Ovis aries: one gene and its partners. The protein of the gene in region 1 purifies or fractionates together with the protein of each later gene. This does not show direct contact. Links are inferred from orthologs where the notes say so. Each region holds a gene or a part of one and is shown in the gene's direction. Other genes may lie near its edges.

Evidence for each region.
Region 2: the proteins of DDX5 (region 1) and FUS purify together in Homo sapiens (affinity purification with mass spectrometry; 5 studies listed by BioGRID and IntAct, with this or other methods). This does not show direct contact. The link is inferred for Ovis aries from reciprocal best matches to the Homo sapiens genes DDX5 and FUS.
Region 3: the proteins of DDX5 (region 1) and HNRNPR fractionate together in Homo sapiens (co-fractionation; 3 studies listed by BioGRID and IntAct, with this or other methods). This does not show direct contact. The link is inferred for Ovis aries from reciprocal best matches to the Homo sapiens genes DDX5 and HNRNPR.
Region 4: the proteins of DDX5 (region 1) and HNRNPU purify together in Homo sapiens (affinity purification with mass spectrometry; 3 studies listed by BioGRID and IntAct, with this or other methods). This does not show direct contact. The link is inferred for Ovis aries from reciprocal best matches to the Homo sapiens genes DDX5 and HNRNPU.
Region 5: the proteins of DDX5 (region 1) and DHX9 fractionate together in Homo sapiens (co-fractionation; 3 studies listed by BioGRID and IntAct, with this or other methods). This does not show direct contact. The link is inferred for Ovis aries from reciprocal best matches to the Homo sapiens genes DDX5 and DHX9.
Region 6: the proteins of DDX5 (region 1) and DROSHA purify together in Homo sapiens (co-immunoprecipitation; 4 studies listed by BioGRID and IntAct, with this or other methods). This does not show direct contact. The link is inferred for Ovis aries from reciprocal best matches to the Homo sapiens genes DDX5 and DROSHA.
Region 7: the proteins of DDX5 (region 1) and DHX15 fractionate together in Homo sapiens (co-fractionation; 3 studies listed by BioGRID). This does not show direct contact. The link is inferred for Ovis aries from reciprocal best matches to the Homo sapiens genes DDX5 and DHX15.

Annotation. Positions count from the first base shown.
Region 1 is NC_056064.1:48,409,333-48,413,316, reverse strand, and holds the start of DDX5 (probable ATP-dependent RNA helicase DDX5), read left to right. Parts: upstream 1-1,184; 5' UTR 1,185-1,354; coding exon 1,355-1,398; intron 1,399-2,577; coding exon 2,578-2,743; intron 2,744-2,926; coding exon 2,927-3,023; intron 3,024-3,107; coding exon 3,108-3,241; intron 3,242-3,358; coding exon 3,359-3,424; intron 3,425-3,661; coding exon 3,662-3,803; intron 3,804-3,887; coding exon 3,888-3,984. Other genes in the region: CEP95 (centrosomal protein of 95 kDa), read right to left, coding at 299-317. UniProt on the Homo sapiens protein: Involved in the alternative regulation of pre-mRNA splicing; its RNA helicase activity is necessary for increasing tau exon 10 inclusion and occurs in a RBM4-dependent manner. Binds to the tau pre-mRNA in the stem-loop region downstream of exon 10.
Region 2 is NC_056077.1:27,789,342-27,792,841, forward strand, and holds part of FUS (RNA-binding protein FUS), read left to right. Parts: intron 1-258; coding exon 259-291; intron 292-887; coding exon 888-991; intron 992-1,480; coding exon 1,481-1,610; intron 1,611-1,864; coding exon 1,865-1,966; intron 1,967-2,100; coding exon 2,101-2,224; intron 2,225-2,686; coding exon 2,687-2,787; intron 2,788-2,899; coding exon 2,900-3,047; intron 3,048-3,334; coding exon 3,335-3,374; 3' UTR 3,375-3,500. UniProt on the Homo sapiens protein: DNA/RNA-binding protein that plays a role in various cellular processes such as transcription regulation, RNA splicing, RNA transport, DNA repair and damage response. Binds to ssRNA containing the consensus sequence 5'-AGGUAA-3'.
Region 3 is NC_056055.1:243,258,384-243,261,883, forward strand, and holds part of HNRNPR (heterogeneous nuclear ribonucleoprotein R), read left to right. Parts: intron 1-1,568; coding exon 1,569-1,745; intron 1,746-3,303; coding exon 3,304-3,438; coding exon of another isoform or gene 3,439-3,439; intron 3,440-3,500. UniProt on the Homo sapiens protein: Component of ribonucleosomes, which are complexes of at least 20 other different heterogeneous nuclear ribonucleoproteins (hnRNP). hnRNP play an important role in processing of precursor mRNA in the nucleus.
Region 4 is NC_056065.1:31,694,709-31,698,208, forward strand, and holds part of HNRNPU (heterogeneous nuclear ribonucleoprotein U), read left to right. Parts: coding exon 1-12; intron 13-103; coding exon 104-272; intron 273-523; coding exon 524-778; intron 779-1,038; coding exon 1,039-1,223; intron 1,224-1,552; coding exon 1,553-1,624; intron 1,625-2,094; coding exon 2,095-2,148; 3' UTR 2,149-3,500. UniProt on the Homo sapiens protein: DNA- and RNA-binding protein involved in several cellular processes such as nuclear chromatin organization, telomere-length regulation, transcription, mRNA alternative splicing and stability, Xist-mediated transcriptional silencing and mitotic cell progression.
Region 5 is NC_056065.1:63,382,973-63,386,472, forward strand, and holds part of DHX9 (ATP-dependent RNA helicase A), read left to right. Parts: intron 1-1,169; coding exon 1,170-1,399; intron 1,400-1,553; coding exon 1,554-1,669; intron 1,670-2,536; coding exon 2,537-2,737; intron 2,738-3,500. UniProt on the Homo sapiens protein: Multifunctional ATP-dependent nucleic acid helicase that unwinds DNA and RNA in a 3' to 5' direction and that plays important roles in many processes, such as DNA replication, transcriptional activation, post-transcriptional RNA regulation, mRNA translation and RNA-mediated gene silencing.
Region 6 is NC_056069.1:42,131,419-42,135,495, forward strand, and holds the start of DROSHA (ribonuclease 3), read left to right. Parts: upstream 1-1,277; 5' UTR 1,278-1,380; intron 1,381-4,077. Other genes in the region: C16H5orf22 (UPF0489 protein C5orf22 homolog), read right to left, coding at 907-987. UniProt on the Homo sapiens protein: Ribonuclease III double-stranded (ds) RNA-specific endoribonuclease that is involved in the initial step of microRNA (miRNA) biogenesis.
Region 7 is NC_056059.1:44,702,366-44,706,000, reverse strand, and holds the end of DHX15 (ATP-dependent RNA helicase DHX15), read left to right. Parts: intron 1-1,206; coding exon 1,207-1,376; intron 1,377-2,567; coding exon 2,568-2,685; 3' UTR 2,686-3,135; downstream 3,136-3,635.

The DNA of each region.
Region 1 (3,984 bases):
TCTAGGGAAAGACACTTTCTGATCATTTACAGCCACCATGCTCGCGTGCTGCGGGCCTCGCCGCAGGGCCCTTGTCTCCCCGCCCCAAATCAGGCTCGACAACTTCGAATGCGCCAGGGAGCGGGACTAAGAAGCCCCAGCCAGAGAACCCGCCAACTACGACCGGGTTGTCTCACGAGCCCCGCCGGCAGCCCACACCCACCCGAAGCCTCAAGATAAGATGGGGAGGGGCGTTCAGGACTTGGACTGAAAAGGTACTTGAGCCCACACACAAACGGGGCTCCACGCAGAGACTCACCAGCCTCTGAGCCGGCCATGTCGCGGAGGCAAGTCGCCGCCGGACTCCTAGCCGGGCGCGCGCGGGACGGCGTCCTGAAAGGGCCGCACGGCGCAGACCCAGGGCTGACAGGAGAGGAAGCAAACGAAAGTGCCGGGAAGGGGTGCGGTGAAGGAGGGAGGGACGTTAAAACGGCTTCTCGCTGCTGATTGGTCACCGCGGGAGTACTTCCTTTGGCGGCACGTGCCGAGGTGGCGGTTTGCGAACTCTAGATACCATTTTTCACCAGCCAGACCCCGCTCAGGGGTCCTGGGGTGGGTGGGTTTGACAGTTCGGGTCGCCCAACAGCCCCGGCCGATTTCCCGAGGGCATTAGCACGGCACTTCCGGTGAGCTATTTCGTCTTGTACTCCTCCGCCGACGCCAACTGGGGAAGTAGTGCGTCCCGCTCACTCGGCGGGCGGGGCAGCCACGTGACAATGTCAGGCTCCGCCTTCCTGTCGCCCCTAGTAATGGGTGTAAAGGCTCTTTGGAGACGTAAACATCTTCAAGGGGACCGAGGGAGTTGACCTGGGCTGGACATTTTATTGTCTGGGCTAGACCTGGAAAAGGGCGCAGTGGTTTCCCTGAAGTGTGAAAGACCAGAAAAAGGTGAAGTCAAGAGAGTGCAGGCTTAGGCATCCCAGTGGAGGACCGCGGGGTGGGGGCGGGTCCTATCCTTGAAAGGGGCGAAAAGTCGGCAAAGGGCCCGGGGGGAGGGGCGAGAAAATGGCGGATCCCGGAACGCCGGCAGGCGTTAATAGCTCTGCGCAGGGGCGGAGTGATTAGGTCATAGAGCGGCTCCCAGCATTCTCTGCGGCGGAGGAGGCGGGCCAGGCTATAAAACCGGCTGCCGGGACGCGGCCGGCACCTCATTCATTTCCACCGGTCTCTTGTTGGGCAGCCTTGGCTTCTGTCATCGTCGTCCCTCCGCCGCTGCCGCCCCCGCAAGGCTTTGCCGTCGCCGGAGCCACCTCCAGCGACTCGTCGCACCCGATTCTCTCCGCTTCGCTTCCCGCCAACCGCAACCATTGACGCCATGTCGGGTTATTCGAGTGACCGAGACCGTGGCCGGGATCGAGGGTGAGTGTGGGAACCGACCTGTCAGGCCCGGCGGGTGGGGGATGGGAGACCGATGAGGGTTGCGGGGGTGGGGTGGCGGGGGCAACTCGGCTTCTAAAGACTATTCTCGGGCCTCCGCCATCGAAAAGGGCTTGCGCCATTTTGTTATTTGTCCAAACCTGGACTTTTCATGTTAACGGTCCTCAAGATTCTTTTTTGTTTTGGAGGGGGTATCGGGGCCTTGATGATTTGGCAACTGTTCGGAGAATTTCGAGCACATTTTTTGAGGGGAGGAAAGCGCAGCGCTTTGAGGCGAAGTCGCCACTATTAGGTGTAAGCTTACAGGAATTTTAAGGAATCTGGGGGTTCTGTGGGTGCCGAGGGGGCCGCCTCCGAAGCCGTTAATGCGGCGAGGGTTGGAGGGTGGCCGGTGCCGCGGGAATCGGCCATGTGGCCGAGCCGTGGGTACAAAATGCCGGCGGCGGACATGGCGGCGGCGCCTTTGTTACCCCGCCCGGCGGAGGAGCTCAAAATGGCAGCGTCGAGAAAATGTGGCGCAGAGAGAAATGCGAGACAAAGGGGGAAGCGCCGCCCCAGCGGGAACGCCGCCCGAAGGACTCCGCCCGGGCCGGGACTCCTCCCCCGGTAGTCTCCGGCTCCTCCTCCTCGTTTTCCTTTCGTTATATAATTTTGCTACCTTGGTAGGAAACCGTTTTGAGGGATCCCCCCAACTCGATTGGCTTGCCTAACTGTCCCCGAGCCACCCGCCGTGTTCTGCACTCACTTACCTGTGTTGTTCCGCTACCTATTAAAATCAGAGCTCTTGGTTCAGGACAGGTGCTAAGTAACATCTGTGTTAAGCTTCTGCTTTATTTTTTTTTGGCATTTAATTCTTTCGCTTGTGTGAAAGAGTAGTATCCACCAGCTGTTGTTTGTCCTTGTATCTGAACTCCTAGAGCTTGGCCAGCCAGTTTCCAACCTAGTAAATCCCGGGCTGTTGATTTGTTTTCAATGGTGTGTACTTCGTGTAACGGGAAATGAGGGAGATGTAGTACTAACTGGCTTTTGAAAGAATGACCATCACTGAGGACAGCACTTGCATCTCCAGAATCTTTCATTGAGTTTTAGCATGTGCGCAGGGATGGTAAAATAAGTCTGTACATGTTTGAAAATGCAATTTTTTTTCCCCTCAAATTTTAGGTTTGGTGCTCCTCGATTTGGAGGTAGTAGGGCAGGGCCCTTATCTGGAAAGAAGTTTGGAAACCCTGGAGAGAAACTGGTTAAAAAGAAGTGGAATCTTGATGAGCTGCCCAAGTTTGAGAAGAATTTTTATCAAGAACACCCCGATTTGGCTAGGCGTACAGCAGTGAGTAATTTCATGTGGTTTTTTCAGCTTGTAACTCAGTGACATTTAAGTTTGACTAGAAATGTCTTGCAAACTTAAAGGAATGTTAATGTTGATAATTATTAACTTAGGGGTGTGTTGGTCGTGTGTTTAGTTAGGGGGAGTCCTCGTGAGATAACTGAATTTTATAAATTTCTTTTGTAGCAAGAGGTGGAGACATACAGAAGAAGCAAGGAAATTACAGTTAGAGGTCATAACTGCCCAAAGCCAGTCCTGAATTTTTATGAGGCAAACTTCCCTGGTAAGTGCTAGTTTTCCCCACCTTAAAAAAAAAAATCCCTTTCTCATGGCATTATTGACGTTTACTTAATTCTTAACATTACAGCAAATGTCATGGATGTGATTGCAAGGCAGAACTTCACTGAACCCACAGCTATTCAAGCTCAGGGATGGCCGGTTGCTCTGAGTGGATTGGATATGGTTGGGGTAGCACAAACTGGATCTGGGAAGACTTTGTCTGTAAGTTTGGGAAACTTTGAGTTAGGTGACAGGTCCTGAAGAAAAATGGGTTGGGAATTAAAAGAAACCAGAAGTGTTTTTAATATGGCTTTTTTTGTTTGCTTTTCTTTTGTATAGTATTTGCTGCCTGCCATTGTCCACATCAATCATCAACCATTCCTAGAGAGAGGTGATGGGCCTATTGTAAGTGTACATTGTATTCTCTTAACTTGGTTAACAGCGTAGAGATTTGTAGAATATACAGCAAAAGAAAATTCTGGTGGTTTTATATGGAAGGTTATGTTTTTCAGTGTAGGAAGGGACAAAGCTGCTTTGGGTATTGACAATGTATATCATCTGCTAGTGTAGCAACAGTAAATTAGCACTTCAAAACTAGAATTCAGGGGTCTCCTAAAGGTGTTCCACTTTCTCTTTCCTTAGTGCTTGGTGCTGGCACCTACTCGGGAACTGGCCCAACAGGTGCAGCAAGTAGCTGCTGAATACTGTAGAGCATGTCGCTTGAAGTCTACTTGCATTTATGGTGGTGCTCCCAAGGGACCACAAATACGTGATTTGGAGAGAGGTATGTAACCAAAAAGGTTTTATTTGTCACTGATCATGCAGGAAGTTCTGGATGTCATGGTAACTTTTGTGTGTTTAATTAAAGGTGTGGAAATCTGTATTGCAACACCTGGAAGACTGATAGACTTTTTAGAATGTGGGAAAACCAATCTAAGAAGAACCACCTACCTTGTCCTTGATGA
Region 2 (3,500 bases), on another chromosome or scaffold:
TGTGGGGACTCAAGTTACATGCAGACCTTAAGAAAAGGGGCCTGTGTCTTTCCCAGACCTGCCTAGGGTTTTCTCTGGGCAGGCGACCCAGAACAGGGTTTGGAGTGAGGCTGGCTGTGAGCACTTACCTGATATTTTGCAAAAGTTTGGATTTGGTGTTAATTATTTTGCTTGTCTTTCTCAGCCTCTTAACTAACGGCTCCTCTTTCCTTGTTTTTTTGTTTTTTTGTTTTTGTTTTTTCTTCTATGTCATTTAAGGCCCTCGGGACCAAGGATCACGTCATGACTCTGGTAAGTCCGCAGGTGGCAGGAAAGAAAGGCAAAAGTGGTAGCAGGACTTTCCTTGGATGTTGTTCAAACTTAAGGGAATCTGAAGAAGAGCGGGGCTAGAGAAGAGCGGGGAAGAGCGTTTAGTTAGGAGTAGCTGTGTTGAATAGTGTATTTAACAAGAAAGACACAGGGACGCACTTAGTGTATGTGTTGTTTTGATGATGTTTGTATAGGGCTTCCCTGGTGGGAATGCTGCGTTTTAGTGTAAAATTAGTTTCTTTGGGGGTCTTCAACTGAAAGTTGACAAACACTGGTGTGGTCTTGGGCAGTTAAATCCTGAGCCCTGGATTCTTTTACGAATTTCAACATATTTTAAGGGGTAGTTGTAAACCTAAATTTTAATTGGTGAAGCGGCTAGCATACAGGCACTCATAATGAAGTAGAGTTGGAGATTTGTCGGACCTACAGCACCAGTGCTTTATATTAATTGGTTTAGAAATTTTCTTTCTTGGAAAGCTAACTATCAAGTATCAAAGTTCAGGTTACTAAGTGTCACTGACTTATTTTATCTCTGGTTGTTTTCTGTCTCCATGTTTCCTGCTGTGTTGGGCAAGCAGAACAGGATAATTCAGACAACAACACCATCTTCGTGCAAGGGCTGGGCGAGAATGTTACAATTGAGTCTGTAGCTGATTACTTCAAGCAGATTGGTATCATTAAGGTACTTATGGGAACTTCTCTGGCAGGCCAGTGGCTAGGACTCCTCGCATCTACTGCAAGGGCACGGGTTTGATTCCTCATTGGGGAACTAAGATCCCCCCGGCCCCAATAAAGAGTGGCTATGTCCCCCCCAGCCCCGAAAGGTACTTCTGGGGCAGAGTGGATACATTCTATTAGTGCTGCAGGCTTTGGGATTTCATACCTTAGTGAAAATAGAAATCTTAATGGTTGCCTGCTTCATTTGTTGAGGAAAAAGCATTAACTGTTGCCATTCCAAAGGGAATCATTTTAACACAAAAAGGTACAATTGATTAAAAAGATGATTAAAACTTTTGAATTGTAGTCTATAATCTTTGTCATTTAATATTGAAGGGAGAAGCAGTTAACAGTCGATGGCTTTCTTTCAAGTTATGTATGAAATAGGAAGGTATGGTTTTGATAGTGCTGTATTCTCTGATAGACTGATGTGATCTCATGTTGCTTTCTTCAGACAAATAAGAAAACAGGACAGCCCATGATTAATCTGTACACAGACAGGGAAACAGGCAAGCTGAAGGGAGAGGCCACCGTATCATTTGATGATCCACCTTCCGCCAAAGCAGCTATTGACTGGTTTGATGGTATGTCTGAGGAGGCTGGGGGAGAGGGCAGCTAGCTTGGGGAAACAGGCTGCATTTTGAGGGTTTCTTTGAGTCTTCCAAGACTTAACAGCACTACCCTGTTGGTGTAGTCTTATATTTGGTTATGTTTCGTGAGATTGTAAACATTTGTAAGAAGGCAGAGTCTTCTCTTGATTGTACCAGGTATACTTTGGGACCCACAGGTCATAGGTCTTAATTAGAAGTCTCTTTTATACCTCCTTTATTTCTTATAGGTAAAGAATTCTCTGGGAATCCTATCAAGGTCTCATTTGCTACTCGGCGAGCAGACTTCAATCGGGGTGGTGGCAATGGTCGTGGAGGCCGAGGGCGAGGAGGTAAGGAGCTCTTTGTGTTGCTGTAAAGAAGTGATGGGGAGAGAAGAGGGAAGGAGGATGGTAAGGGCTTGTGTGGGAAAGACAGGTTAACCACACTTGGAAGGTGAGCAGACCTGTTCTTCGCTCTGTTCTAGGACCTATGGGCCGTGGAGGCTATGGAGGTGGTGGCAGCGGCGGCGGTGGCCGAGGAGGATTCCCCAGTGGCGGTGGCGGTGGCGGAGGACAGCAGCGAGCAGGGGACTGGAAGTGTCCTAATCCGTGAGTGAAACTGCTTAATTTTTTTCTCAGCCCTCTTGTACATGTGCCCTTTGATGTTAAGTTATGTGCCAAGTTGTTGCTTCAGTCCTGTCTGACTCTGCAACCCCAAGGACTGTGGATTGCCATTCCCTTCCCCAGGGGGTTTTCCCAACCTGGGGATCAAACCCAAGCCTCTTATGTCTCCTGTGTTGGCAGGCAGGTTCTTTACCCACTAGCACCACCTTGACCTTAGGACAGAGCTTGTAGTTCTGCTAATGTCAGGGATAGGCGTGGTTGGGAATCATCTAGACTGGGCTCAGTAACCTGCAGTCTTTGTCTCTGCTCCTGAGAAACGGGCCTCTTTGCTTTTCCGAGGCCTCATTTTCCTCACGTATCCCTGGGGTCACTGGAATTTTCATAATTCTAGGTCTTGGCCATTTCCACCCCCCTCCTACACACATTAATTGTCTTATTTTTCCTTAGTACCTGTGAAAACATGAACTTCTCTTGGAGGAATGAATGTAACCAGTGTAAGGCCCCTAAACCAGATGGCCCAGGAGGGGGACCAGGAGGCTCTCATATGGGTAAGGAAGAGGCAGAGCTGGTGTTGGGATCTGCAAGGAGGCTAGACAGGGGGAGGGAGGAGGGGTCTGGGGGATGTGATAGAGGGTTGAATCATGTTTCTTTATTTCCTAGGGGGTAACTACGGAGATGATCGTCGTGGTGGCAGAGGAGGCTATGATCGGGGTGGCTACCGAGGCCGAGGAGGGGACCGTGGGGGCTTCCGAGGGGGCCGGGGTGGTGGGGACAGAGGTGGTTTCGGCCCTGGCAAGATGGACTCCAGGTAAGTAAGACTAAATTGAAAGGGAACTAGAGCAGTTGACCAGAGGTCATGGGATTGCAGGGTTTGGGGAGCGTGGTTTCATTTTGAGGGCGGGGTTGGGAAGCTGAGACTTGGGTAGGAGACAAGGGAAGGAGACTTACCTGGGGGAGCTAGTCTGGATGCCCATGTGCACTCCGTGCCCAGGGAGACGAGCTGTCTCTCGGGGTGGGTAGCAGGGCAGGTTGGGTTTTGGGGGTGGATGGGTAGAGAGGTTGGAACCCAGACCTCATGGATGCTCTTTCTTGCAGGGGTGAGCACAGACAGGATCGCAGGGAGAGGCCGTACTAGCCTGGCTCCCGAGGCCTTGGAGCAGCTTTCTTCCTGTACCCAGTGTTACTGCCCTCATTATTTTGTAACCTTCCACCTCCTGATCACCCACGGGTTTTTTGTGTCGGACTATGTAACTGTAACCAT
Region 3 (3,500 bases), on another chromosome or scaffold:
AGTCGGTGATGCCATCCAACCATCTCATCCTCTGTTGTCCCCTTCTCCTGCTTTCAATGTTTTCTAGCATCAGGGCCTTTTCCAGTGAGTCAGTTCTTCGCATCAGGTGGCCAAAGTATTGGAATTTCAGCTTCAGTATCAGTCCTTCCAATGAATATTCAGGACTGATCTCCTTTAGGATGGACTGGTTGGATCTCCTTGCAGTCCAAGGGACTCTCAAGAGTCTTCTCCAACACCACAGTTCAAGGCCGTCAGCTTTCTCATAGTCCCAACTCTCACATCCAAACATGCCTACCGGAAAAACCATAGCTTTGACTAGATGGACCATTAAAAAGCAATGTCTCTGCTTTTTAATAAATGCTGTCTAGGTTGGTCATAGCTTTTCTTCCAAGGAGCAAGGATCTTTTAATTTCATGGCTGCAGTCACCATCTGCAGTGATTTTGGAGCCCCCAAAAATAGTCTGTCTGGAAAAAAAAAGTTTCCGTTGTTCCCCATCTATTTGCCATGAGGTGATGGGACCGGATGCCACAATCTTAGTTTTCTGATTGTTGAGTTTTTACTTCATTACTTCATCAGTCGGATCAATTATCAGGATATGAAATGTTGATGTAGATGAGTTTCACTAGAAAATTCATCTCATGCAAGCAGTAATTTACTCTTTAAGACTGTGTGTGTGGATTGCGAGTGTTTTAACATAAAAGGTTATTTTCCGTATTGCTGACTTGGTAGAAATTTGAATTGTCATCTGATATTAAATACTGAGAAGCTTTATGATTGTTTCATTCTAATTTAGCATTCCTGTATATTATGACTTAATCCTACTTACTATGTAATTTTAACTAAGAATACAAAATCTTCAAATTATGATGAATTTTTTTCATATCTTAAAATGTAATATTCTGATAGAGAAAGGAATTCTGATGAAGAAAGATTAAAGCAGGGGAGTTTTAAGTAGTAAAGATTTTAGAGTTGAGAAATTTGAAAGAGACCTCATCGATCTTTTATTCAGTTTTTTTTAATTTAACTTTTATTGTAACTTTATTGAATTGGCATGTTTATCCTATAGTGAAAGTGGAAGTGTTACTCGCTTAGTCATGTCTCACTCTTTGTGACCCCATAGGCTGTAGCCCACCAGACTTCTCTGTCCATGGAGTTCCCCAGGCAAGAATACTGGAGTGGGTTGCCATTCCCTTCTCCATATTCAAGTATGGTTTTTCTAAAAAATGCAGATGTATTTCAGTGAAGATTTATATAGGCCTTTTATTCTATTTTTTTGTGAGAAAAGGACAAATTTAAAAAGTTTAAAATTTAAGAGTTATTACTACAAATTGTGAGCACTTACTATTAATCAGTTTCCATTTTTCAGTATAGAATATTATTGTTCTGTGTTGATGCCCTGAAAGTCATTATAATGAAAAACTAGGATTAACTTCATAAGATTCAACTTGCCCCAATTTTTCCTTAACCATCTTTGTGTCCCCACCCCCTAAAAAAGGCACCTAGGTTTTGTGGCTCTAAAATCAAATGCTTGTTACATTGGGATTCTAACATACAGGTTTTATTTCAGGTCTTTGTAGGTAAAATACCAAGAGATTTATACGAGGATGAATTGGTGCCCCTTTTTGAAAAGGCTGGTCCCATTTGGGATCTGCGTCTTATGATGGATCCACTGTCTGGTCAGAACAGAGGGTATGCATTTATCACCTTCTGTGGAAAGGAAGCTGCACAGGAAGCTGTTAAACTGGTATGTGATAAACAAAACAAATACCCATTGTCTAGCAAGTCATTTGAGAGAAACACTTGAATTAAAAACATTTGCAGTTAACATTGTTTCATTTACTTTAGTTTTTGTTTTGAGAGTTTTTATATTGACTGAGTTAGTATGTGTCTGGTGGCTATTTTTTCATATTATGAAAGTAAAAAATAAATGAAAATACCACAGAAGTAAGGTGATAGTCTCCCATAATTCTAAGAAGTTATTACAGCAGTTACTATCTAAAGTTTCATTTGAATATTTGGCTTTTGCAGTTCTCCCTTTTGATCTTAGACAGAAATGTCAATTCTTGCTGTTAAACTTTAGAGTAAGATTCTTATGGGTTCTGGGGAATATAACTGGGCTCCTTGACTTTTAGGACACAATTTGGGAAATGGTTGTGAATCTCTCTTGTTTTTATCATAACCTAATCATACAATTTATTTATTTTCTAAGTATATTCTCGTTCTTTTCTTTTTGTTTCCAAACTCTCCAGTTCTCTTTGTTTTTAATCTTTCTCTTTTACTATTACTTGATAACCAGTCTTCTAGGAATCTCCTTTCTGTAGGGCCTTTTATCCTTTGTACTTATTTCAGAGTAGTACACAAATTAAGTATGGCTTCACTCCTACTGTGTTAAGATACAATCATCTCAGTAACTCAAAATAGCAGTGTTGTTGGTTTTTGGGGATACTCTTGGCAGACAGCTGAAGGCCTCAGTCTAGTTTTAGTTCTTTTAGAATGGTAACCTTTCACCAAAGCTTTTCATTTCATTAGTTGCTTCTAAATTTGTTCTACTTCTAACTTGACCCAGATTTTTGTTTTTATTATGGACCTTTTTCCTTCCAGTTTGTTTATTTAGTACTGAGAAGTTTTTAAAGTTTTATTTCCTTGCTTCTGGCAACATATGGATGATTTTTTTTTTTAATTACATATTTGTTTTATAAACTAATAGGTAAGTAATGTTAAGGCATAAAAAGCGCAAGTTTACCTAGGAAATCATCACCATAACCATTTAAATAAAACACTTTATTCCTATGATTTAATACAATTTTGAAAGTATTATGTTTAATATGAAGTTTAAATTTTTTAAATTCTGTTTTATGTAAAAGGTGAAATTCTTCTCCGTTTCTTTGCGTTGATTAAACATAGTTGTTATTCTTTACATTTTGTTGTTTTCCTGAGACTTGTCTCTATCTCATTTCATCTCCAAGGGCTCTGAATTACCAGTTTCAGGTAGTTTTCCTAAAATTCTCTGGGAAGAAATCTTGAGATTGATAATATTGAAATAAATCAGATCTTTTCAAAGATAGAGTGAATAACTTTGATTCATTTAATTTGATAGAGCAGTGAAGGTTAATGAAACCAAACTAAAACAGAGGCTGTAAAAGTTTAAAATACACATTTTATATTATGGCAAGCATGAGGGGACTTGATGAATTCATGAAGCAGGGAGTGTTTGACCTTGAATTGTCCAGTTTTTTAGACTGAAATCAGTTGTTCTGAGTTTGGGGTGGTTGTGGGGTGTCTGGTTCTTTTCTTCCTTTCAGTGTGACAGCTATGAAATTCGCCCTGGTAAACACCTTGGAGTGTGCATTTCTGTGGCAAACAACAGGCTTTTTGTTGGATCAATTCCGAAGAATAAGACTAAAGAAAACATTCTGGAAGAATTCAGTAAAGTCACAGGTAAAACAAAAATGTATTTAGAAATTAGTTTTGGGAAATCTGTGGTATACTATAAGTACAA
Region 4 (3,500 bases), on another chromosome or scaffold:
ATTTTGGATCAGGTAAGCTGTAACTTTGAAGTTGAAAAAACTGATAATTGTAGAATTAATGTTTGAGGTTAAAAACTTTTTTTTTTTTCTCTTTTTCTGAAAGACAAATGTGTCTGCTGCTGCCCAGAGGAGAAAAATGTGCCTCTTTGCAGGCTTCCAACGAAAAGCTGTTGTAGTTTGCCCAAAAGATGAAGACTATAAGCAAAGAACACAGAAGAAAGCAGAAGTAGAGGGAAAAGACCTACCAGAACATGCAGTCCTCAAAATGAAAGGCATGAAGTTCTATTACCTTAAATATCCTGTGATTTGTATCTGTTAGCTTAATGTCAGTAATAACTTTCAAGAGTTAAATTAACTGTAAATGAACATATATTTAACTTGTGTTTGTAAGAAAATGTAATTACAATATGACTAGGTGTTGTGTGTTTTGTAAGAATTAACAGCTGATTGAGAGTATTGGGCTTTAGGGTTGTGAATGTGTATGTAGTGGGTTTGTAGGTTAATATGATTTTATGTTTTGCAGGAAACTTTACTCTGCCAGAAGTAGCTGAGTGCTTTGATGAAATAACCTATGTTGAACTTCAGAAGGAAGAAGCCCAGAAACTTTTGGAGCAATATAAAGAAGAAAGCAAAAAGGCTCTTCCACCGGAAAAGAAACAGAACACAGGCTCAAAGAAGAGCAATAAAAATAAGAGCGGCAAGAACCAGTTTAACAGAGGCGGTGGCCATAGAGGACGTGGCGGATTCAATATGCGCGGTGGAAATTTCAGAGGAGGAGGCAAGTTATGTTGAGTATTATTTGGTCCAAGGTTGAAACAAATGGTACACTTCCAGTTTGGGTCTATATGTTACTTAGCTGAATTTAACATAGGAAGCTTTTGATGTGCATTATCTGAGCTGTCTTAGTAAGCATGTCTAGGTTATGTTGAATGGTTAAACATTTTTCTCCTGAAATGAAGGAATGGTCCAAAAGAACCCTAAGTCTCATGTAAAGAAGGCAGCAACACACTACTAAATGAGATGTTTCTTGTTTTCTAGCTCCTGGGAATCGTGGTGGATACAACAGGAGGGGCAGTATGCCACAGAGAGGAGGTGGCGGTGGTGGCAGCGGTGGCATTGGCTATCCGTACCCTCGCGGCCCTGTCTTTCCCAGCCGCGGCGGCTACTCAAACAGAGGGAACTACAACAGAGGGGGAATGCCTAACAGAGGGAACTACAACCAGGTAACCATTTAAGATCTCTGCAGACGCTGATTCTCTATATAATTTAGTGTAAAAGGTTAAATATGATGGGCAGCCTCAGTTAAGAATACAGTGTATATGCATAATTATTTTTAGGTGCGTTAACTGCTAGTAGGAGCAAGTCAGGTGTGATGTCTCTTAGTGAATAAGTTAATCACCTGAAAGGAAACCCAGCAGAGTGCTCAGAGGTTCATGGTTGACCGCCCATCCATCCATTTCTGCAGCTGTGTCCCCTCTTTTCCCTCTGCCCCTTAGATAAACCTAGCAACTTGTGTTCTGAGTTCTTTAAAGATTTTTTTTCTTTTTTGTAGAACTTCAGAGGACGAGGAAACAATCGTGGCTACAAAAATCAATCTCAGGGCTACAACCAGTGGCAGCAGGGTGTAAGTAATTCCTTATGTGCTTTTATGTACATTTAATTGTATTTTGAATTCATAAGAATCAATCTTAAAAAAAGATCTTGTCTAGGGATCGAAGTGTTTATAAATAAGTATTACAGGGCAAGCTGTGAGCTGTATTGCAGTTGTAGCTGTATACTATCTTTTGAAGGCGAGATAGGTTGGAGTTTGCTGTAACTTAATATTTTTTAATAAAGTAATATTTAATTCATACGTTTTTTTTTTTTACTGATAGCTTTAATTGTATAAACTAACCGAAGTCGTAATGTGTTTCCTTTTGTAATGTGTATTGATAATGGGATGTTAATACTAACTAAATCTGGCTTGATAAATCAGAGGAATGACAGGTATAAATTTGTTTCCAGCAATTACTCTGAATTAGATTGTCATTTCCTAAAAGCAATTTGAGTGGCTTATTGATGTTTTTTCTTTAAAAAAAAAATTTTCTCTTACAGCAATTCTGGGGTCAGAAGCCATGGAGTCAGCATTATCACCAAGGATATTATTGAATACCCAAATAAAACGAACTGATACATATTTCTCCAAAACCTTCACAAGAAGTCGACTGTTTTCTTTAGTAGGCTAACTTTTTAAACATTCCACAAGAGGAAGTGCCTGCGGGTTCCTTTTTTAGAAGCTTTGTGGGTTGATTTTTTTTCTTTTCTTTTTTGTACATTTTTAATTGCAGTTTTAAAGTGAATCGTAAGAGAACCTCAGCATTGTGCACGATAAGAGAATGTGTCAGTATTTCAGGGTTCTACATTTTATCTGTAAAATGTGACTTTTTTTTTATCACAACAAAAGTAAAATGTTGCTTTGTACCTGGTGTCTTTTATTAAGAATTTACTCCCCCCCATTTCTCACAGAGATAACAGTCGGGAGTCATTGTCACAATATAATAGAAATGTTAGCAACCAGATTCATGTAAGGACTTAGTGGTCCTCATGAATTGCATAAGACTCTGTACTGCTCATATTACACTCCATCCTCTCTGTAGTTTGCTGAGTAGTGGAGGGGTAAGCTAAATAGTAGTTTTTGACGGTAACTGGGAAGGCTCTTTCTTTTTAAGTAACGATGGAATTGGCATATTTGGGAATGAAGATAAAATTTGGAACGAAGATAGAGAAGATGGAGTGTATGTAGAAGGGCTGTTAAAAAATGTAAAACTTGGTTGCATTATTTGTGGAGGCTCAAACTTGTGAAGGTTTAAGTACCATAATTTTTCCATTTGTTCTGCATTTTGATTCTGAAAAGAAAGCTGGCTTTGCCCATTTCTTATTAAAAAAACTTGTTGTAAATCCAGTTGTCTAATGGGATCTATATGAAGTTAGCTATGTCTGTATGCCCTTCTCCCACAAAATACTGTATAACTAGTGTGCTTGTAGTAGTTAACTCCACCATCTTTGTAAGCTAATGAAATTGTGAGTCACCCATTTATATCTTAATTTTTAATCATGTCAGTTCTTGAATGGGTATCTCCTTAGCCTGCTGATTTCTTTTTCTTTCTAAAGAAAGTGGGTGGAGAAATTAATTTAGACGTTTGTTTGCAATAAAAAGAATTCATTTTACTCTTGTTTTGGGATTCTCGCCATCAAGGTTCAAAATCCCTTTATGAAACTCCCAAGAGGAGAAAATTTAAGTGTGTGCTTTCTGGACAGCTTATTCTTTACTGTGCACTTAGAACATTTAGGTTTTAAAAACTTAAATGTATATTGACAATTGACTTAAAATTATGAAGTTGAACTCTTCCCTTCCCCTCCCCCCTGATGACTTTAAACATTTAATGAGGGGAAAAGGTACTGGCTGGGAGAAGTTAACACTCAGTTTACCATCTTTACAAAATGCTAATGGCTGTCCTCAA
Region 5 (3,500 bases), on another chromosome or scaffold:
AGTTGATTTACAGTGTTGTGTTAGGCTCTGCTGTACAGCAAAATGAGTCAGTTACACATCACTGTCTTTTTTTAGGTGGAAGGGTGTGTTTTTATTTCTGATCCATTTACTTTGTAAAAAAACAGGCCTAGCTTTTTGCACTTCTAGAATGAGCAGTTTGTTGAATTTACTTCAGGTAGTGGTTTCTGAAGTGATGTGTTAATTTGCTGATCTGTTCATTCTTAGGTGTGAAGTAAACTCTATTGCATTAAATTTTAATTGGCTTTGAGTAAGTTTTAATGGATAGCTAATCATAGAGGACTTTGATATCTGATATAGGAATAGTAATCCAACTGTTCATTTCTTGTGTGAATTTGAACAATTGTACTTCTCCAGCTAGATTGAGACAGAGTTAATTTTCTGAAATATTGAGAGTTGGAACACATAACCAGAAATAGCTAGTTGAGAGAGAGAAGGACTACCTTCTGGGCCATATCTAAATAACTAAACATTTTTCTTCTGTTGTAAACTGACTAAATTTGTACTTTCAAAAATCAAAGGAAAATAGGACATTTTTGTATGATAGACTCTTTACAAAATTCCTGAGATGCAGATATGACCTCCATTTTACAGGTTAGGCAGCTGGCCAGAGGTTTAAATTACTTGTCCACATTCATTCAGTTCAGAAGTTTATAAGACTGGTATACAGGCTTTTTGGAACAAAGTTTATCCACACTCTTACCATCATATTTTCCATGTGATGGCCTGGGCACAAAGCATTTTTTGGGTGAAAACAGCAGCGTTTTTCTAGTGTGTTCCTCTTGGTCATCTTCTGTAGAAGGAACAGCTTTTTAAGAGCAGCAGGTGAAATACTGGTCATACCGGTCTAGCTCTAATCTGAGAGGAGATGGTTAATTGGGGCATTTGTTTTTAAGTACTTCAAGCTTAGTTGTGTCTACAAAAGAAAACAGATGTTTTAATTTTACTAAAATTGTGAAGACTCAGCAAAATTTCTCCTTGCATTAATCTGAGTGCGAGAATGCTAAGAACAGAGGCAGTGAGATGGGTTATTTGAAAAAGAGAATGAGGGAGGAGTTAATTCTTATAATTGTCATTTAATTTTGGTAAATTCAATGTTAGAATTAGCCAGATACTTGATTTTTTTTTTTTACTCTCCTTCCTCTTTACAGAGTGTTTACTGACACAAGTGTTTACTAACACTGGACCAGACAATAATCTGGATGTTGTTATCTCTCTCCTGGCCTTTGGTGTGTACCCCAATGTGTGTTACCATAAGGAAAAGAGAAAGATTCTCACCACTGAAGGGCGTAATGCACTTATCCACAAGTCATCTGTTAATTGTCCTTTTAGCAGCCAAGACATGAAGTACCCATCTCCCTTCTTTGTATTTGGTGAAAAGGTAAGAAAAGGGAGGTTTAGAAAACTTCTACATTTAAAATCCAGATTACTTTATTAATGTGTAGTGGGGACATGGGTTTTAGTTCATTATTATTATATGGTAGTTGATTGACAGTTGGAATGTCAACTTTTTCCTCTTGCCTCTTTATCTTCAGATTCGAACTCGGGCCATCTCTGCTAAAGGCATGACCTTAGTCACCCCCTTGCAGCTGCTGCTTTTTGCCTCCAAGAAAGTTATGTCTGATGGACAGCTTGTGGTTGTAGACGACTGGTATGGATTTTCAGATGTGAACTCACCTGAATTCTTAGAATTGAAATGTACTGGAATTCAGCTGCTAATCTATTTGTGAAATATGGCAGAATTCGATGGCATAAACAATGTGTTGTGTAACACTGTCTTTTCTTAGAGGAGTATATCCTAGGCTTACGATTTGTAGCTGATAGTGAAGTCTCAAATTGATTATACTTGTAGAGGCAGATGCAGTAAATCAGGGGTGCCCACCCTCTGGGGTCTAAGGCCTGATGACCTGAGGCGGAGCTGATGTGGTAGTAATAGAAATTCAGTGCACAGTAAATGTAATGCACTTGAATCATCCCAAACCATCCCCACCACCACCCCAGTCTGGAAGAAGTTTCTTCCACAAAAATCGATTCCTGGTGCCAAAAAGGTTGGGGGCTGCTGCATTACTCATTGGAGCCCCATCCACCACCGTGAATACCATACTGAGGAGTTAAAATCTAATTGGAATTTGGATGCCTCTTTTTTTATGTACACTCCATATTGCTTAGAGACAAGTGGTGTCTGTGTAGTAAGCACTTGGCAGAATTGGACAGAACTTAATGGTTAGTAGTCTCTCATTTCATTCTTTTATTGGAGGCTGAAGTGATCTGTATGGCTAAGCGTACTTCACTTGGTAGACTTCATGGTTCACAACTCCTGCCAGTAGCTAGCAGTGAAGTTTAAGAAGTTGGTTTAACTTATTGTTACTCTTCATACCTGTGTTTGCTAAATCTAGGGCCATTACATTTGGAAAAGAAGTTAAATTTATCCCATCACTTGCCATGGGTGAAATTGGGAGATAATAGTCTTTTTCTGTGTGTACCTCCTCTCATTTTTAATCATTTTTCCCTAATTTAGGATAAGATTGCAAATATCTCATGAAGCTGCTGCCTGTATCACTGCTCTTCGAGCAGCCATGGAGGCTCTGGTTGTTGAAGTAACCAAACAGCCTGGTATCATCAGCCAGTTGGATCCTGTTAATGAACGTATGCTGAACACAATCCGCCAGATCTCTCGGCCCTCAGCTGCTGGTATCAACCTTATGATTGGCACTACACGGTGGGTACCACAGTAACTTTCTTTGAACTAAGCAGAAGAGACAGTAATCTTACTCTACATTTAGTTTATGGAGGCCTTGTTATTTAAGTTAAAATTATATACACATTCTAAATGAAGTTTAGTTCTGGTTAACACATTCAGAGAAAGAGTGTTAATGATATGTTACACCAGTGCATGCTAAAGATAGAGACCTTGGAAGTACATATGGAGTCCAGGATAGGTCCCATGACAGGAAAAAAAGCGACAGGCCCAACTGCTTTGCCATCTCTACAGGAAAAATGATGAGGGCTTAAATTGCTGCTGCTTCGAATGAAAAGCGTCAGAGTTTAATCTTTAAAGTGTTCTAATTGCCTCATTTTTTTTCACCTTTAAAAATTTTCTTTGCCCACTGCCTTTTACTCTCAAAATTTTTGATACCTGTAGAAAAGGCAGAACAGTAGTACAGTGAACTCTGTTAACTTAGGTTTCAATGATTGTCAGCATTTTGTGACACTTGCTTTGATACATATATATATTACACACATACTTTTGTTGAATCATTTGTGATTCAGTTGCAGGTGTTATGACATTTTACATTAGTATGCTTCATGTATCTTTTAAGAACATAGCTATAAGTCACACACAAAAATGTGTTAAAATAATAGTATCTAATATACAGTCATTAAAATTTGTCATTCAAAAATATTTTTCAATCTCCCCATCAAAAATCACTTAACTGCATTTGGTTTTAAAGTGTTAACTTACTATACAGAAATGCTGTGTG
Region 6 (4,077 bases), on another chromosome or scaffold:
ACAGACAAGCTCCAGTACTCAAGGAAAGAAAAGCAAAAACAACTGCTTGTTAAATCACACTCTGGTGTAAAAGGTGTGTTCAAGCTACCCTGGGTCTCTGCGTCTTTCTCACACCTTTTGGATGCTGGTTGCTGGGCTAGGTCCTCTCTAAGGCTCTTTGTTCCGTTACAGTCTCTGGAGTTCTAAGTTAAGATTGAATCTGAAAGCACCACCTACCCCATGCACATTATCTCTAGGTCCTGAGAAACCAAATTTCCTTCCTATTATCTTTATTCATCCGCACATCTGGAATCGGCCTCTTCCTCTTTAACATCCACAGAATTCCTAAGGATTATTAAAGCTATCAAAAACAGAAAGTCTTCGATCACGGGACTCTCGCAGGCTTCCAGAAATCTAGATGTGGGCACCATTTTAGCTATTATAAAGTAGCACTACTACAAAAACAGAAAAATATCTTTATAGCGCCGTGTTAAAAGATTCATACACACACTACTCACACAATAATACTAACGGCTCTGAGAGCTACTCTGTACCCATTTCACAGATGACAGTGCATATTCTCAACAGAAGCCTCCCACCGACACCACAGAATTGTGAAGGGGAGGCCGGGAGACAGCAGGAAGCCTTTGTTATGAGCAGGTTAAGGACTCGAGTTACTGCAGTTACGACTGTCCACGTTCGAATCCCGAAGCCACTAATTGTTGGCCGTGGGATTTTGGGCAAACCGCGAGGGTTCAGTGAGTTGCCGGACTCGTAGTAAGCGCTGACGTTAAAGCTCGCTGTCCTGCTGTTTTCCCCACAGCACCGCAACTCGCTCGGATTCTGGTTCTCTCTCTGGCCTCCAGGCTCCGCCGCCGCCTCAGTCCTCGCGCGACCCTGCCCAGCACCCGTCAGCTGCCCACTCACCTCCTGATGATCCTCCACCACCCACACCGGGAGCTCAGGATAGCGCCGGAGCCGGGCGCGCTGTCCCCCCGATTCACTCATGTTTTCGCGCGCGTCAGAGTCCCAAAAATCCGGAGCCAAGGTTCCCTCAAGAGCCTGAGCTGCGGCCCGCCTCCTCTCCCGGGAGTAAACGCGCGCTCACCCGGTTGTGGTTTCGGATTGGAGGAGGTAAGGGGCAGGAGGCGGGCGCCAGAGACTCGAGGAGACCGATTGGCTTAGATGTCCATCGTTCTTATTGAAGCACCAATCACCGTGCACAAGGCGCTGCGGCGATTCCCGAGCGCTTTCCCTCTTGCAGTCCGGCTTTCTCAGGTTTGCTTTTTAATTCCTGTGCTTTCCTGTTCCGGAGCCGCGGGCGGTACTACGGTCTTGGAGGCTACACTATAACTCTGGCTTTACTCTAACGGCGACCTCGCAGCCCGAGAGCTTTTCTAGGTAAAAGGGTCAGCTTGTGGGTGTTGGAAGAGGGAGTGTTTCCAAGTATCCGAATTTCAACGGGGCTGGCGTCTGGGGCTGGGGTGAGAGGCGTCTGGGAGTTAGGATCCGGCAGCTCCTCTTCAGATCTGCAGCGAAGGGCAAAGGAAAGGGACCCTAGGCCCGTACCCTGTAAATAAATAGTAGTGAAAAATGAGACCTTTCATTCATTGTGGCGCGCATGTGGTGGTCCAGGCCTGGGGCCGCCGGGATCTCGGGCAGGGAGTGAGACTGTAAGTTTACACCGTGGGGCTCACTATCTGGCGGGAGATGTAAACAGGGAAGCACGCAATTACGAATCATCCAGACATAAGTAACCGGGCTGGGAATTCAGGTGGTGGAAGAGCGCGTTAACAGAAATGTAGTCCCACATTTCAACTCTTTCTGCAAAGAGTGATGTTCCTGCACGTTAACTATGCAAAACGACTCCCTCACTTTCCCTGCTTCCAAACAGCAACTTAAGAGGAGGCAGACGCCGAAAATAATTACTTTTCCAGTTGCAGTGAGTTCCTTGACTTTTGAATTGAAGTTCACATCCACCACACAGCCTGACTGTGCCTTTAATAGGTCAGTTTCATAATCAATGTTTTCAGATATTCTGTTTCTAGAAATATCCATGAGGATCTAATAGTGAATGTTCAACAACAGTGAACACACGATACAGGAGTAGTGGTGATCCTGACTCTTGTCCACCTCTAGATTCAGTACACTCCTTTGTGTTTCCCCTGGACTCTGCATACCTCTTTTCTTGTGTTTATCACATTATGTAATTAAAAAAAAAAATCTGTATCTGCATATGGATTCTGGGCTTCAGGAGCCCTGCTTACTATGTGCCTTACTCATGTTTGATCAGGGCCTGTGCCCATGCCCCACCTGTCTAGGCTCATTAAATGTTGCATGAATCAGTGAAAAGGTCTGCTTTTTGTCTGGTTTTGGTAATGCAAACCTGTTGTGGATATATTCAGTAGGGAAATGTCCAGTAGCAACATAGAAACATATATCACTGGTGAGCCAGTAAACACTTACTGATCACCTACTGTGTGCAGGATGTTCTGCCAGGGGCTGTGAAGGATACAGAAATGATTATGGGTCAACCCAATTCATCAAGGAGCTAATAACCTAGTGGAGGAGTTAAGACATGTACACACATGATTATTATATGAGGCAGTCTCTGGTAAGTGCTGTAAAAGAAGTAAGTACAGACTAAGAGCAATGGAAGTCTTGAGGGAATGGGATTACTTCCTAAAGGGAACCAAGATAGGCAGCACAGAAGATGTGGCGTTTGACATGGGTAGATGGGTTAAAAACTTAATGGGCAAAGTCACAGGGAGGGGTTTTAGAAGACCAGAAGTAAAGAATAAGCTGGATGATAGTACTTCATATGTTAGGAACTGGAAACACCTAGGATGATAGGAGAGCTTCCCAGGTGGCCCTAGAGATAAAGAACTTGCCTGCCAGTGCAGGAGACATAATGAGAGGAGGGTTCGATTTCTGAGTTGGGAAGGTCCCCTGGAGGAGGGCCTGGCAATCCACTCCAGTGTTCTTGCCTGGAGAATCCCATGGACAGGGGAGCCTGTTGGGCCACAATCCGTAGGGTTGCAAAGAGTGGATATGACTGAAATGACTTAGCACGCACGCAGGATGATAGGCACTTCATGGGGAAGTTAATGGAGGATTAGCCTGGAAGAAGTTGGGTCCAGATTGCAGAGGGCCTTAAATGCCAAGCATGGAGTTTGAGCTTGATTCTTTTGGCTCTGAGTAGCTTGTGGTCTCAGGATGGGCTGTCTAGGCCCCAGGTTTATCATGAGGGTCTTGAACTGAATGATAATCATTCAGTTCAGTTACTCAGTTGTGTACAACTCTTTGTGACTCCACGGACTGCAGCATGCCAAGCTTCTCTGTCCATCACCAATTCCCAGAGCTTGCTCAAAATCTCATGTCCATCGAGTGTGTGATGCCATCCAACCATCTCATCCTCTATCATCCCCTTCTTCTCCCACCTTCAGTCTTTCCCAGCATCAGGGTCTTTTCCAGTGAGTCAGTTCTTCCCATCAGGTGGCAAAAGTATTGGAGTTTCAGCTTCAGCATCAGTCCTTCCAATGAATATTCGGGATGTATTTCCTTTAGGATGGATTGGTTGGATCTCCTTGCAGTCCAAGGGACTCTCAAGAGTCTTCTCCAACACCACAGTTCAAAAGCATCAGTACTTCGGTGCTCAGCTTTCTTTATAGTCCAACTCTCACATCCATATATGACTGCTGGAAAAGCTGTAGCTTTGACTAGATAGACCTTAGTTGACAAAGTAATGTCTCTGCTTTTTAATATGTTGTCTAGGTTGATCATAGCTTTTCTTCCAGGGAGCAAGTGTCTTTTGATTTCATGGCTGCAGTCAGCATCTGCAGTGATTTTAGAGCCCAAAAAAGTAAAGTCTGTCACTGTTTCCACTGTTTGCCCATCTGTTTGCCATGAAGTGATGGGACTGGATGCCATGATCTTAGTTTTTTGAATGTTGAGTTTTAAGCCAGCTTTTTCACTCTTCTCTTTCACTTTCATCAAGAGGCTCTTTAGTTCCTCTCTGCTTTCTGCCATAAGGGTGGTGTCATCTGCATATCTGAGGTTATTGATATTTCTCCCGGCAGTCTTGATTCCGGCTTGTGC
Region 7 (3,635 bases), on another chromosome or scaffold:
TGTTACTCAAGCATTATGGATTTCTAATTCTCTCTTAAAACCAAAATCCATTAGAAATGGGACTTTCAAAGTGTAGTGCCTGCCACCTAGTAGGTGCTTAGTAAATATTTATTGAGTGAAATTGAGTTTATTTACTATTATATGTTCAGTTCAGTCGCTCAGTCGTGTCCGACTCTTGGCGACCCCCTGAATCGCAGCATGCCAGACCTCCCTGTCCATCACCATCTCCTGGAGTTGACTCAGACTCACATCATCGAGTTGGTGATGCCATCCAGCCATCTCATCCTCGGTCGTCCCCTTCTCCTCCTGCCCCCAATCCCTCCCAGCATCAGAGTCTCTTCCAATGAGTCAACTCTTCACATGAGGTGGCCAAAGTACTGGAGTTTCAGCTTTAGCATCATTCCTTCCAAAGAACACCCAGGGCTGATCTCCTTCAGAATGGACTGGTTGGATCTCCATGCAGTCCAGGGGACTCTCAAGAGTCTTCTCCAACACCACAGTTCAAAAGCATCAATTCTTCGGTGCTCAGCTTTCTTCACAGTCCAACTCTCACACATCCATACATGACCACAGGAAAACCATAGCCTTGACTTAGACGGACTTTGTTGGCAAAGTAATGTCTCTGCTTTTGAATCTGCTGTCTAGGTTGGTTATAACTTTCCTTCCAGGAGTAAGCGTCTTTTAATTTCATGGCTGCAATCACCATCTGCAGTGATTTTGGAGCCCCGCAAAATAAAGTCTGACACTGTTTCTGCATCTCTTCCCATTGAGTGATGGGACCAGATTTAGGTCCCTTTCTGAAACCGTTCAACTCTGCCTCCCCTTGTTGTGCAAAAGCAACTTTGGACAAATGGGCATACTATGTTTCAAAAAACTTTACTTACCATTTTGAATTTCATGTGATTTCCGTTCCAGCATCACCAAGTGTTTCTGTTTTGATATTTTCCCCCAGTCATTTAAAGGTGTATAAACTGTTCTTGGCTAAGAGGCCTTAAAGATGTAGGCAGTGAGTTGAATTTAGCCTGCTGTAGTTTGCTGATTGCTGCTTTTATTAGGCAGTGCTAAATAAGTCTAGCCATCAGATTAAAAGTACTAGGTGAGGCTTGCCTTTCCCTGATTATATAGGTATAGATATATAGGCTTTATATCACTTTTGTAACTAGCATGTCAGAAGCATTGGATTAATTTACTGGGTTTCGGTTTCAGGTGGCACATTTAGAACGAACAGGGCATTACTTAACTGTGAAAGATAACCAAGTGGTTCAGTTGCATCCCTCTACTGTTCTTGACCACAAGCCTGAATGGGTGCTTTATAATGAGTTTGTTCTTACAACAAAGAATTACATCCGGACGTGTACAGACATCAAGCCTGAATGGTAAGCTCAGTGTCTTTCATTCTAAAAGTTTTCGTTACCATTTTGCTGAGAATGGAATCTGAAGAGAGTCTTGTCTTGTTCTTCTGTTCACTCTGGGGAACTCGGGTGTTCCCCAGCTAGGGTGTATACTCCTGTGTATAGATTTGGGGCACAAAATGGTGTGTGATTATCTGTTAAGAATAATTGCTTTGTAAAGAGGATGGTAGAATTGTTAGCATGGGCATGGGCAATTTGGAGACACCAAGTTAAACTTGACTAACATGAAGAGTATCTTTGAAGCCATTCTCTTGCTGTTGTGATTAACTTGATCTCCAGGTTGCAGTAGTCAATCTTTGTGTTTCAGCTCTCAGTTATTGTTTATTTCTATGTTGGCGCTTTAAAAGCAAAGCAAGCATTAAAAACTGCACCTCTTTTTGTATCATTGCATATTTGATTCACAAAATGTGATCAGAACTGACTGACTTTAAGCAAAATTACCCACCCACTGCAGTCCCCCTTTGTGACTTTTTTTAGGGGCCAGAATCTATTCTGTAACTTAAGATGGAAATGGCAGCCAAGAATGGTGGGACTGAAAGCACTTACTTTAGTTGATGTCACTTGCTGTATATTTTGAGGCTTCTTTCCTCCACTGATTCGTGACTTTTGACACTTAAATTGTATAGGACATTACCATTGTATCTTAAATGCTTTATTGAGAAGAAAATTACATGGCTAAATGTTTAAAAAGATTCAGTCAGGTTTATTCTTTGGGGTATAGAGTTACATTTATGGTTATTAAAACTTAGAAAATGAGACGATCCAGTCATTTGAATATCAGCCTGTTTGTTGTATGGAACTTGTAATATTGTAATTTTAAAGAGATAGATCAAAAGTGTTCCAGAGTGAAGAAACTTATGACCTTATGTTAATGTCTATGTAAAAGAAAGGAGTATTTTTTTTTTACAAGAATTTGAGTGGTTTTTTGTTTCGTTTTTTAAGTTTATGAAAAGTCCACCATCAGAAAATCTGCAGCATACTAAGAAGCACACATTTCTAAAAGTGGTGTTGATAACGATTAGGCATTTGTAATTTTACCGTTGGCTTGGACTTATTATTTGCATTTGTCAGTGTGTCAGTGAATAATGCCTATCCTATCAGAAGCTCCAGTACTCTAATTGTTAATTTGGTGATTTTTCCCCTCCTTCTGGACAGGTTGGTGAAAATTGCCCCTCAATATTATGACATGAGCAATTTCCCACAGTGTGAAGCAAAGAGACAGTTGGACCGCATCATTGCCAAACTGCAATCCAAGGAATATTCACAGTACTGAAATTCAATGCTTAGAACTGAAGTTATTCAGAGGACAGCTTTAAAAGATGAACGAACTGAAAAGTTCAAGTTGTGCTCTTCATGTTGGTTCAATAATGGCCTTTATTTGAAAGCTTTTTAATTTTTCTTTACAGTAAATATTCCATTCTGATTTCATAAATTAAACATTTATGCCTCCCTTTTGTGTTGACACTGTAGCTCATACTGGAAAAGTCGATCAATGTTTTGCAGTTTATTGAAAGTAGTTCTATATATAACAATGTTATAAGCATTTCTTTAGAAATGGTTGAAAATGCTTCTAAAATGTGATTATCGACCATGGTATGCATGATCGTTGTAATTGTTGACATTCCTTTTAGAAGTTGTGAAATGTTACAACTTGTGCTTATGTAGACACAATCTTCTGTCTCGGTACAGAGGCACTGACTTCAATAAAGTCTATTTATACTAATTTTGGCCACAGCACTTTAATATTTTTGTTCTAGTCTAAGTATGGCTTCTTTTCTTCCCAAGTGTGGGGCTTTTTTTGTTTCCTTAAATTGTAAGCGTACTGTGACTCCATATTCAGTGTCTTTCCACAGGGGCTGCTCTTAGGTTTTAAAGGACATACTGTAGCACTTTGTTAGGTTAGTTAGGATCTGATCTAGTGGGATAGAGTATGTTGTTTTTAACTCAGAATTGGATCCCCAAAGACAGAATAATGATAGTTTTCATCATAAAGTTCATTCTATAAGACTGATTATTTATTTTGTTACCAAATTTTTAGCAGATCTTTTTTTTTTTTACTTAGACATTCTATGTACTCTAGTCTCTGAAACAAATGTTTGTGTTAAATAGACAATAGGAAGTGATATTGTAGATGTTGGTCAGTTTATTGAATTCTTAATGTTGGATGTTTTGTGCAGTGTACAAAGTCATGAGTATAGTGTGTTAAAATGTGAATTTCCTTCT